Linked DNA regions of Saccharomyces cerevisiae S288C. The protein of the gene in region 1 interacts with the protein of each later gene in a pairwise test. Each region holds a gene or a part of one and is shown in the gene's direction. Other genes may lie near its edges.

Region 1 (7,935 bases):
GTCTATTCGTATTGGTATCCAAGCAGTGAAGCTACTCAGGGGAAAACATATTTTCAGAGATCAAAGTTATGTCAGTCTCTTTTTCATGTGTAACTTAACGTTTGTGCAGGTATCATACCGGCCTCCACATAATTTTTGTGGGGAAGACGTTGTTGTAGCAGTCTCCTTATACTCTCCAACAGGTGTTTAAAGACTTCTTCAGGCCTCATAGTCTACATCTGGAGACAACATTAGATAGAAGTTTCCACAGAGGCAGCTTTCAATATACTTTCGGCTGTGTACATTTCATCCTGAGTGAGCGCATATTGCATAAGTACTCAGTATATAAAGAGACACAATATACTCCATACTTGTTGTGAGTGGTTTTAGCGTATTCAGTATAACAATAAGAATTACATCCAAGACTATTAATTAACTATGAAGGGATTATCCTCATTAATAAACAGAAAAAAAGACAGGAACGACTCACACTTAGATGAGATCGAGAATGGCGTGAACGCTACCGAATTCAACTCGATAGAGATGGAGGAGCAAGGTAAGAAAAGTGATTTTGATCTTTCCCATCTTGAGTACGGTCCAGGTTCACTAATACCAAACGATAATAATGAAGAAGTCCCCGACCTTCTCGATGAAGCTATGCAGGACGCCAAAGAGGCAGATGAAAGTGAGAGGGGAATGCCACTCATGACAGCTTTGAAGACATATCCAAAAGCTGCTGCTTGGTCACTATTAGTTTCCACAACATTGATTCAAGAGGGTTATGACACAGCCATTCTAGGAGCTTTCTATGCCCTGCCTGTTTTTCAAAAAAAATATGGTTCTTTGAATAGCAATACAGGAGATTATGAAATTTCAGTTTCCTGGCAAATCGGTCTATGTCTATGCTACATGGCAGGTGAGATTGTCGGTTTGCAAATGACTGGGCCTTCTGTAGATTACATGGGCAACCGTTACACTCTGATCATGGCGTTGTTCTTTTTAGCGGCTTTCATTTTCATTCTGTATTTTTGCAAGAGTTTGGGTATGATTGCCGTGGGACAGGCATTGTGTGGTATGCCATGGGGTTGTTTCCAATGTTTGACCGTTTCTTATGCTTCTGAAATTTGTCCTTTGGCCCTAAGATACTATTTGACGACTTATTCTAATTTATGTTGGGCGTTCGGTCAACTTTTCGCTGCTGGTATTATGAAAAATTCCCAGAACAAATATGCCAACTCAGAACTAGGATATAAGCTACCTTTTGCTTTGCAGTGGATCTGGCCCCTTCCTTTGGCGGTAGGTATTTTTTTTGCACCAGAGTCTCCATGGTGGCTGGTTAAAAAAGGAAGGATTGATCAAGCGAGGAGATCACTTGAAAGAACATTAAGTGGTAAAGGACCCGAGAAAGAATTACTAGTGAGTATGGAACTCGATAAAATCAAAACTACTATAGAAAAGGAGCAGAAAATGTCTGATGAAGGAACTTACTGGGATTGTGTGAAAGATGGTATTAACAGGAGAAGAACGAGAATAGCTTGTTTATGTTGGATCGGTCAATGCTCCTGTGGTGCATCATTAATTGGTTATTCAACTTACTTTTATGAAAAAGCTGGTGTTAGCACTGATACGGCTTTTACTTTCAGTATTATCCAATATTGTCTTGGTATTGCTGCAACGTTTATATCCTGGTGGGCTTCAAAATATTGTGGCAGATTTGACCTTTATGCTTTTGGGCTGGCTTTTCAGGCTATTATGTTCTTCATTATCGGTGGTTTAGGATGTTCAGACACTCATGGCGCTAAAATGGGTAGTGGTGCTCTTCTAATGGTTGTCGCGTTCTTTTACAACCTCGGTATTGCACCTGTTGTTTTTTGCTTAGTGTCTGAAATACCGTCTTCAAGGCTAAGAACCAAAACAATTATTTTGGCTCGTAATGCTTACAATGTGATCCAAGTTGTAGTTACAGTTTTGATCATGTACCAATTGAACTCAGAGAAATGGAATTGGGGTGCTAAATCAGGCTTTTTCTGGGGAGGATTTTGTCTGGCCACTTTAGCTTGGGCTGTTGTCGATTTACCAGAAACCGCTGGCAGGACTTTTATTGAGATAAATGAATTGTTTAGACTTGGTGTTCCAGCAAGAAAGTTCAAGTCGACTAAAGTCGACCCTTTTGCAGCTGCCAAAGCAGCAGCTGCAGAAATTAATGTTAAAGATCCGAAGGAAGATTTGGAAACTTCTGTGGTAGATGAAGGGCGAAACACCTCATCTGTTGTGAACAAATGATTTTTTTAGCCAGTAGGTAGATACGGCGTTATTTAATTTTATTTTATATAACTAGTACTTAACACATCGAGTTTATTTTTACTCGACATTATGACTTTTTTTTGGTTTTGTTGCGGCTTTGAAGTTTTTTCAACTAGAGGTTATTATTTTGTTCTGAAAAAACGTTAATGATTTAAATGAATCATTGTGATGAGGGTCCTAGATTTAAATATCTTGCAAAAAGAAGTACTAATATACAATTTTTTCATTCCCGTTAATGAAAATGCTTGAATTTTTATATTGTATATTGATACACTCTATTCATGTTCCGGCAACAATTATTTTTTTTTTAATTCTGTAAATTTACTTTTTGACGTATTCTTTCAGCATTTCTGTGCTTATGTTAGAATTCAAGAGAGTATTCCCTATTCCTGGTAACGTAAATTCGCTTTGTAAATCAACGATACATGATTCTCATATCCCAACAAAAATGCCACAAAATTTATATTAGTAAGCTGCCCGCTTAAGTATATACTTAATGTAACTGTATATAGAATTATCATGACCATCAGAACTAAATATTACAAACAAGTAAGGCAGGAGTAGAATAATCTCGCCTGAAGAACATAGCTTCTTACACCCTCGAAAAGCAAGACTTAAGAATATCACTCACACTCTATCAGTATATCTATCTCGTATAAGTGAACGGCGTGAACAATAAATTAAGGAATTATGTCGTCTTCATCTTTGGAATCATCATTTAGGCGCAGTGGTCTAGAGATAGGCAAATCGATTAGAGCACTCTGACATTTAGTTGAAAACCTTTGAAACATTTTATGATTGCAATGTTTCAGGGAGAAAACGAACTTGGATACATCGCACAAAATATTCCAAGCCTCCAACTTCATATTGTGATCATACTTATTTACGATATCTACCAATGCATTGGCTACTTCCAATGATTTCATTGGTATTCCAGGACCATGTACATCATACAGGTTGTTTGGAGTTAAGAATATGTCGTCCAGCATATCCTTTGCAATTTCGACCAATATGTGAGCATTATTGGCGTTTGAGAAAAACTTGGTACCATTCATCTGAAACACTAGCTTCCAAGCCAGCGCCCTAATCCAATGTCGAGAAAATGAAATGTCCACATAGCCATAAGACCATGGTTCTATTTCAAGGGATGCTGTGTGAAGCTCTTTCCATATTTTTTTCAGTGAGTCTTCAGTGCAAGAACCGCTAGTAGACTCCGTAGCCAAAGCATCAAAAAAGCATTTACCTGGTACAGTAAATACTCTAATCATCTCAAAAAAGCTATCCAAAGAAAGTCGAGGGTCCGTTACGAACTCTGGCTGAGGTGGAGCTATTGTGGTATCCAAACTTGTAACACAATGAACATATACGGAATAGTATCTTTCCGTCAAGAGAAGCAAATAATACACCTTGCGTAAAAGCTGTTGCTCACGAAATGATAGTGATTCGTATGCTTTTTCACGATGTAACCCTGCTACAATAACAAGGCCAATAGCTTCACGACAAAGTCTGTATGAATTTCTTACATCAGAAGACTGTGAAAAACAACGTAGCAAGCAATAATATGTCATAATTCGGAAAATGTCTCTGCCGCTAAGGTCATCAAATTGTTGGCGTGAGGACATACAGAGAACGGCTAATTGTTTTCCAGTAAACGAAAATCCCCCCTCAGATTCTAATTCGCTTTGTAGATCGCTAAGATTGGCTGCTGAAAGAGCTACGAGAAACCAATAAACGTAATGGTCATTGTATTCTTCGTCCAAAAGCTTGTGAAGGTCATCATAAGAGAGTAAAGGCCAGATAACATATAGATTGTCGTGATAAAGCCTCAAACACTGATCAATCACCTTTTTAGGAACCTTCATTAATATTTCTGCCGCTGCCGTACAACTTTTATTATCTATAAACATTTTGGCCTTTGGTATATACTTTAAGCTTCTAGTTCCAATAGGCTTTGAGCCTCTTTTTTTTAATGGTTGCTGATATGTGCAATCGAAATTGTGCTCAATACAGCGACTACATGGTTTTTTACCATCACACTTTACTCGACGGACACGACAATAGTCGCATGCATACTTGACTAAAGTCATATTTAGAACATAAATATCTTCAAGATGCTCTCGTTCGATGTTTGATATTCAATATTTACACTCTAGTGTTTTCCCGAGAAAGAAACCTTCTGAAATGATTTTTTGTTCCTTTTTAATCTATTGAAAAATGGCGGTACGGACAATAAAATCCGGGGGCGGGGTAAATTGCGCATGGCCGTGGAATGTCACTGCAAAGTGAACGAGAAGATTAGAACACGGAATAAGGAAAACTTCTGGGGAATTTATTTTTCAAGATTTGGTTCCAGGTTTTTCCCCAGAAATGAAAGTGCTAGATGATTGGTTTTCAAGGAAGTTCTCAAAAGCTGTACACGGAAACAATCACGGCACCATTTCCTTGTCAACTCTGTCTTATATCAGAGTCCATAAACTAGTAAAATGACTTCGTAGAATCGAACAATATCTCACCATAAAATTTTTTTCACAAACAAAAAAGACGCTCTATTATACAAAAAGCTGCTGCGGCCCTTCTTAATGACTAAATCTTGACAACTGAGCTCTTTCACACCTGTGCAAAATCCAATGGGAGCAATAAATGTAACATATTTTTTTAACATACCACGGTAGGGCAATGAATATAAATAGATATTGGACCGTATCCTTTTCTGATCATCTTGAAAACATTGTCTTGCCTCTCAACAGCTTTATCTATTCTTCACCTCTCTTCGTTTGACTATTTCAGCATGTATTTTTTCACACAATTTTTCTTCCAACTATTTTCCAATATTACTACGAGAATTCCGACCACGGAAAAAAACTTGCGCTGTTCCAATCAGTCCCATTCTATCCATCTACCTGCCAGTGGTTTCGTAATATCGACTCACACCAGTAACGACATAACTGTTTTTTCGTTCATGATTTAATAGCGAGCCCACCTTTAACGCATATCTGCTTCACCGCTGAAATAATATTTTACGAGCACGCTAACACAATGCTTGTGTTTTCTGTTGAAATCACAATACCGTTACTTGGAGTGACCATTTATGGTTTGTTGAATTCACAGTACTCTCGTCAGCTTTGTCACGTATTCAACTGTAACCTCTTTGAATCTCAACACTACGTTGTCTTCGCGTGTACTAAATGTATCGATTATATAATAGTATTTAAAAATCATTTAAAATTGCACCATGTACTGTATAATGATTTTCTCAAGACGATATTTCGAGTTTTGCCGATGGGTCTTATAATCTCTTTTGATAGAGATACCTACTTTTAACAATATCAAAATTACTGATATAGGTTAATTTTTGTTCACGAGTAAGTACTTCAGTGACACTCGTCAGTAAAGAACATTAGCGGAATCGTTATAATTTCATTCCTTACATCCGTTTAATTTCATTAATTCGATGCATCTTTCTTTGGCGAAGCCAGAAAATCTAGTTTCAGAAATCTCGGTTTCACCCGCAAAAAAGTTTAAATTTCACAGATCGCGCCACACCGATCACAAAACGGCTTCACCACAAGGGTGTGTGGCTGTGCGATAGACCTTTTTTTTCTTTTTCTGCTTTTTCGTCATCCCCACGTTGTGCCATTAATTTGTTAGTGGGCCCTTAAATGTCGAAATATTGCTAAAAATTGGCCCGAGTCATTGAAAGGCTTTAAGAATATACCGTACAAAGGAGTTTATGTAATCTTAATAAATTGCATATGACAATGCAGCACGTGGGAGACAAATAGTAATAATACTAATCTATCAATACTAGATGTCACAGCCACTTTGGATCCTTCTATTATGTAAATCATTAGATTAACTCAGTCAATAGCAGATTTTTTTTACAATGTCTACTGGGTGGACATCTCCAAACAATTCATGTCACTAAGCCCGGTTTTCGATATGAAGAAAATTATATATAAACCTGCTGAAGATGATCTTTACATTGAGGTTATTTTACATGAATTGTCATAGAATGAGTGACATAGATCAAAGGTGAGAATACTGGAGCGTATCTAATCGAATCAATATAAACAAAGATTAAGCAAAAATGGCTTTACATCAATTTGACTATATTTTTGCCATTGCCATGTTATTTGCATTTTTGGATGCCTTTAACATCGGGGCAAACGACGTGGCGAACTCATTCGCGTCGTCGATCTCTTCTAGATCTCTAAAATACTGGCAAGCCATGGTTTTGGCGGGTCTCTGTGAGTTCTTGGGTGCTGTCTTGGCAGGCGCAAGAGTTTCTGGTACTATCAAGAACAACATTATAGATTCCTCCATTTTTACCAACGACCCCGCTGTTTTAATGCTTACTATGACCAGTGCTTTGATTGGCTCGTCTTGTTGGTTAACATTTGCTACTGCAATCGGAATGCCAGTTTCTACTACACATTCCATTGTTGGTGGTACAATTGGCGCTGGGATTGCAGCCGGTGGAGCTAACGGTGTCGTTTGGGGTTGGAGTGGTGTTTCTCAAATTATTGCGTCATGGTTCATTGCTCCGATTTTGGCAGGCGCGATCGCAGCTATAGTTTTTTCAATTTCTAGGTTTTCTGTCCTTGAAGTTAAGTCTTTGGAAAGATCGATTAAGAATGCTTTACTGCTGGTTGGTGTTTTAGTATTCGCCACTTTCTCTATCTTAACAATGTTGATTGTCTGGAAGGGTTCTCCAAACCTACACTTGGACGATTTATCTGAAACTGAAACTGCCGTATCTATTGTTCTCACAGGTGCAATTGCTTCGATCGTTTACTTCATCTTTTTCTACCCATTCTACAGAAGAAAAGTTTTGGACCAAGATTGGACACTAAAGTTGATTGATATTTTCAGAGGTCCATCTTTTTACTTTAAGTCCACTGATGATATCCCACCAATGCCAGAAGGCCATCAATTAACAATCGATTATTACGAGGGCAGAAGAAATCTTGGAACAACTGTTTCTGTTGAAGACGAAGAAAATAAGGCAGCGAGTAATTCTAATGATTCCGTCAAAAACAAAGAAGACATCCAGGAAGTGGACCTGGTTAGAACTGAAACTGAACCAGAAACAAAGTTGTCAACGAAACAATATTGGTGGTCATTATTAAAGCAAGGACCTAAAAAATGGCCCTTATTGTTCTGGTTAGTAATCTCTCATGGTTGGACTCAAGACGTCATTCATGCTCAAGTTAATGATAGAGATATGTTATCTGGTGACCTGAAAGGAATGTACGAAAGATCTAAATTTTACGACAATAGAGTAGAATATATCTATTCGGTTCTCCAAGCCATTACTGCAGCCACTATGTCTTTTGCTCATGGAGCTAATGACGTTGCCAACGCTACTGGTCCTTTGTCTGCTGTGTATGTGATCTGGAAAACTAACACTATTGGGGCAAAGTCCGAAGTTCCCGTGTGGGTTCTGGCTTATGGTGGTGTTGCCTTAGTTATTGGTTGCTGGACTTATGGTTACAATATTATCAAAAATCTAGGTAATAAGATGATTTTGCAGTCGCCATCAAGAGGCTTTTCAATTGAACTAGCTGTTGCTATTACTACTGTCATGGCTACCCAATTAGGTATTCCTACCTCAACAACCCAGATCGCCGTTGGTGGTATTGTCGCTGTTGG
Region 2 (5,250 bases), on another chromosome or scaffold:
CAAACAAAAATGGGCCATATATTCTTTCTGTCTCAACCTTCGTTTCCTTGGATGAATTATTTTGATTGAGCTCCAAAAAAAAAGTTGTAGCCAGGAACTATCCAAAACTTCGATTGAGAAACCCATAACAATGATGCCTGCCAGACTTTTCATACTATATCTTTTTGTAGTACTCATGCCTGTTGTTCATTGTTCGTCCAACCTGCCCATCACTCCATATATCTATGAGCGTCTAGTATATTTTATTAAGGCAAGCTCTATATCAAGCTGCATATCTGACAACTTACTTCTTGTTAATAAAACCTTCAACGACGGAGGTTGTCCACCACATATTAACTTCTGCAATGATGAGATAATTAACCCAACAGCGGGTCAAACAGTGGTTGAATTAGTTCTTAATGCAAAAAAAGGTGAATTAGGCTCGGGTTATCTGGCTGTTGACCACGGAAAAAAGGTTGTTATTTTAGCATTTAGAGGATCCACAACAAGACAAGATTGGTTTAGTGATTTTGAAATATATCCTGTTAACTATTCTCCCCTTTGCGTTAAGGAATATCGTAAGCTTATAGAGGAAGGAAAAATCAGAGAATGTGAAGGTTGTAAAATGCATAGAGGATTTCTAAGGTTCACAGAAACTCTCGGGATGGACGTCTTTAAAAAAATGGAGTCGATTCTGGAAAGCTTTCCGGAATATAGGATCGTTGTCACTGGGCACTCCTTGGGGGCAGCATTAGCAAGTTTGGCTGGGATTGAATTAAAGATAAGAGGCTTTGATCCGTTAGTGCTGACATTCGCAACACCAAAGATATTTAACAGTGAAATGAAACAATGGGTAGACGAGTTATTTGAAACAGATGCTATAGAAAAGGAGTCAATTCTTAAAGATGAAATTCAATTTCGTAAGGGCTATTTTAGGGTTGTGCATACAGGTGATTATATTCCTATGGTTCCACCATTCTATCATCCGGCTGGTTTAGAGATGTTTATTAACAAAGTTGGTCTACCTCAGAATGCGGAAGATATTGAATACCGTGGTAAAAATAACAGGTTAACTTTAAAGGATGGATTTCGAGAGGGTATGAGCGGTTTGGTTGAAGACTGGTTACATGTCTATGAACATCGAGCCTACTTCATTGACGTAGTGGGATGTTCTGGACTTTAACATTCACCCACTTTTACGTTTTTGTCTATAACTAGCATATATAATACCGCTCTAGAGTTACTCTAAACTAAATGCGACCACTATTCTTAACTAATAATTGTTCTTTTTACAAATAACTCTTTCAAAACTTCTAATCTTTTCTCTTACGTTTTCCATTTATCTGCTCTTCTTCTGAAACTCTTTTTCCTGCATTGGCCCTCTCTTTGTTACATGAAAGAGGTTTTAGGGTTGGTAATATTTCTGGTTGTAAACTTCTTGAATACACTTGGGTAGCTAACTGCTTATTCCAGTTCTCCTGGCCACTAATCCCGGCTACGCTTTTGTTGAAATAGTATTCTTCTACAGCATCATAGCTATCATCACACATGTCTACTAGTTTCCACGTATGTCTTGGAGGTACTCTATCTTGACCGTAGATGGAAGCTTTAAAATTTTCATCCCTTGGGAAATATTCCTCACGTGGAATTTTTTGAGCGCTGCATGGCTAAATTCTACCGAATCCAATACGTATATCCACTACTCAACATGTTGGGGCACAAGTGATTACACACTTAATATCTCTGTCATAGAAGCTACTACAGAGAAATTGGTTGACACTAGATTATTAACAACACTCGAGAATGCAACCGCTTGGATTAACTCAAACTCTATTGATGAAGACGAAGATGATATGCCTCATGCCACTAACGTAGCAGACCGGCTTGATGGGTTATCCCTTAGCAAGCGCGTATATAGCATCTGTCACTACGAATTTTAGTGCGGATTCTCTCCGTAGCGTAAACGTTCTCTATACATCATCTACCCATGTTGCTCCACCTAGCAGAACATTTCAGAAAGAAAGAAGTCCAAGTAATGGCCAACAACCAGAAGGACAGCTTTTTTTATGAAGGCCCCCTACTGCATATTCATTAAGCTTAAGCTTGATCGGTGAAAAATGCTATAATCTACGTGTACTGGTCACATTGTTGCACATCTCAATTAATCAACGCTCTATTATTATACGGAAGATATAAAGGCATAGTAAATACACTTGCCTGAGGTATTGATTGATGAATTATTTTCCACGGCCCATGCGTTACTCACTTCGAAAATACATTTGAATTTTAGTGATAAGTTTTGCGATCTACTTTTGTTCAAGATAATAATACTGGGGTAGAATATACACTAAGAAGTCTCTTTGAAATTAAAAATATCTCTAAAAAAATCCATTATATAATATACAGTAATACAATTAGAGGCAGGTTTTTCTTTTGCACAATCAATATGCTTTGAAACCAATAAATTCATCCCAGGAACGGACTTCTGGTGGAACTATAACGTCATGAGATTCCAAAATTTTGATCTTTTCTGCAATTTTTGCCTTCAAACACTTTGCAAATAACAAAGCCGTTTGAGGTTCATTGAACAATGGGATAGCAAAATCAATAGCATTCCTTCTCATAATATAGTCAACATCGTCAGTGCTCTCAGCTCTCTTGGAGGCTAAATTGAAAACAGCTTTTATGTCATATTCTTGAAATAGTTCACGCAATTTTCTCTTATCATTCTTTGGAAATTTAATCAAAGAAACCTTTGCGTTCTTTTCTTTGATGTGTTCCTGTAGATACGTTTTAGTGGTCTCATTAGTTGTGTATATTCTGTAACCAATAGTGGCCACTATGGAAGCCACTTGGCCCAAGTATTCTCGAGATGTATCACCTCCAAATAATATACCACTTGGAGGTAGTGGTACATGGAAGTTCATGGTACTTTGAATAGCAGTCCAATAGCTTTCAATTAAATCTCTACCAAATGAAGCAACTTCACCAGTTGATGCCATTTCAACCCCTAAGAAAGGATCTGCACCAGCCAACCTTGTAAAGGAAAATTGAGGAACTTTAGTAGCAACATAGTCGTACTTTTTGTTGAGCATCAAATCAACAGGTTTTGGTACAATGTCACCGCCCAAAAATGCCTTGACAGCAATTTCAATAAAATTAACGCCTAAAACTTTTGAAACGAATGGAAATGATCTAGAAGCTCTAATGTTACATTCAATCACTTTCAATGTATGCTCCCCATCCTTGATGATTTGCATATTGAAGGGGCCAGTGATCTTCCAAGCTTTTGCGACCTTATCAGCAATGTCTTTTAGGGCAATCTTCACATCGTCAGAAAGATGTTGTGGCGGTAAGACTAAAGAAGCATCACCGGAGTGCACACCCGCATTTTCAACATGCTCGGAAATGGCATGTACCAAGACATTACCATTATAAGCAACGGCGTCCACATCAATTTCTTGAGCACCTTCAATAAATTTAGACATGACGACTGGGTGGTCTGGAGAAACGTCAGATGCCAAAGTTAATTTAGCCTTCAGTTCCTCCTCATTATTAACAACACTCATTGCCGCACCGGAAAGAACATATGAGGGACGAATCAACACAGGGTAGTTAACTTTAGAAGCAAATAATTTTGCTTCTTCTACTGATGTTAATTCACTCCATTCAGGTTGGTCAACATCAATAGAATCCAAAATAGATGAGAATTTGTGTCTGTTCTCAGCTCTATCAATATCGTTTGGATTGGTACCCATTATATTACAGCCGTTATCGTAAAGTTTCAAGGCAATGTTTTGAGGTAATTGACCACCGACAGAAATAATGCAACCCTCAGATTGCTCCAACTCATAAATGTCCATCACTCTTTCATACGATAATTCTTCAAAGTATAATCTATCAACTTCATCGAAATCTGTGGAAACTGTTTCTGGGTTATAATTTATCATGATAGTTTTCTTGCCTTGATCTCTTAATGTCTTCGCGGTGTTCACGGCACACCAATCAAATTCTACAGATGAACCAATACGATAGACACCAGAGCCTAAAACCAGCATACCATTTTCGTTGAACTCCACATCGTTCTTTGTAGCATTGTAAGTGGTATACAAATAATTGGTTTGTGCTGGAAATTCTGCGGCCAAAGTATCGATTCTCTTGACAAAAGGGATTATACCTAACGTTTTTCTTAAACTTCTGATTTCCAGTTCGTTAATGTTTGTGGAGGCGTGTTTATTTATAGTAACCGCAATCTGCTTATCTGAAAACCCTAATTTCTTGGCTCTCTGCAAGAGATCTTTACTCAAGTCACTTAAAGATTTAACTGATTCAAGCTCTTTATAGATATTAACAATGTTCATGCACTTGTAAAGAAACCATTTATCAATTTTACTCAATTCATTAACTCTCTCAACAGTATAGTTTTCATGGATTAAGGCCTGACCAATGGCAAGGACTCTTCTATCAGTTGGAGTTCTCAAGGCTTCATCAAGTTGATCGCCGAATTCAGTAGAACCTTGGAATCCCAATAATGATGGATCCACCTGTCTTAATGCTTTTTGAAAGGCTTCTTCATAGTTTCTACCAATAGCCATAACTTCTCCAACTGATTTCATAGAGGAACCAATGGATCTGTCCACGTATTGGAACTTAGAAAGATCCCACTTAGGTATTTTTGCCACAATATAATCCAAAGATGGCTCAAAGTTAGCCACTGTAGTTTTTGTGATTGGGTTTGGCAATTCTGGCAAAGTATAGCCTAGCCCAATTTTGGCGGCAGTGTATGCTAAGGGATAACCAGTGGCCTTAGACGCCAATGCAGAGGAACGAGATAAACGTGCGTTCACTTCAATAACTCTATAGTCTAGCCCATCAGGTTGCAAAGCGTATTGGACATTACATTCACCAATAACACCAAGGTGTCTAATGATTTTAATTGCGGCGGATCTTAACATATGAAACTCTTCATCTGATAGGGTCTGCGAAGGAGCAAAAACCATAGAATCACCAGTATGAACACCAAGTGGGTCGAAATTTTCCATATTACATACTGTAATACAGTTACCAACCCTATCTCTGACCACTTCATATTCAACTTCTTTCCAACCTTTCAAAGATTTTTCAACAAGAATTTGTGGGGCCAACGACAAGGACTGTGCGGCAAGTTCCTTCATTTCACTTGCATTGTTAGCGAAACCTGAGCCTAACCCACCCAAAGCGTATGCAGATCTGACAATAACTGGGTATTTGACCCTTTCAGCAGCCTCCAAA

What was found.
Region 2: the proteins of TYC1 (region 1) and ABM1 interact in a protein complementation assay, tested with the Saccharomyces cerevisiae proteins (one large-scale study listed by BioGRID).

Annotation. Positions count from the first base shown.
Region 1 is NC_001134.8:796,958-804,892, reverse strand, and holds TYC1 (Tyc1p), read left to right. Parts: upstream 1-4,650; coding exon 4,651-4,770; downstream 4,771-7,935. Other genes in the region: MAL31 (maltose permease), read left to right, coding at 418-2,262; transcription factor MAL33, read right to left, coding at 2,964-4,370; PHO89 (Pho89p), read left to right, coding at 6,371-7,935.
Region 2 is NC_001142.9:627,165-632,414, forward strand, and holds ABM1 (Abm1p), read left to right. Parts: upstream 1-1,547; coding exon 1,548-1,919; downstream 1,920-5,250. Other genes in the region: LIH1 (putative lipase), read left to right, coding at 176-1,162; YJR107C-A (uncharacterized protein), read right to left, coding at 1,293-1,529; carbamoyl-phosphate synthase (glutamine-hydrolyzing) CPA2, read right to left, coding at 2,421-5,250. UniProt on the Saccharomyces cerevisiae protein: Required for normal microtubule organization.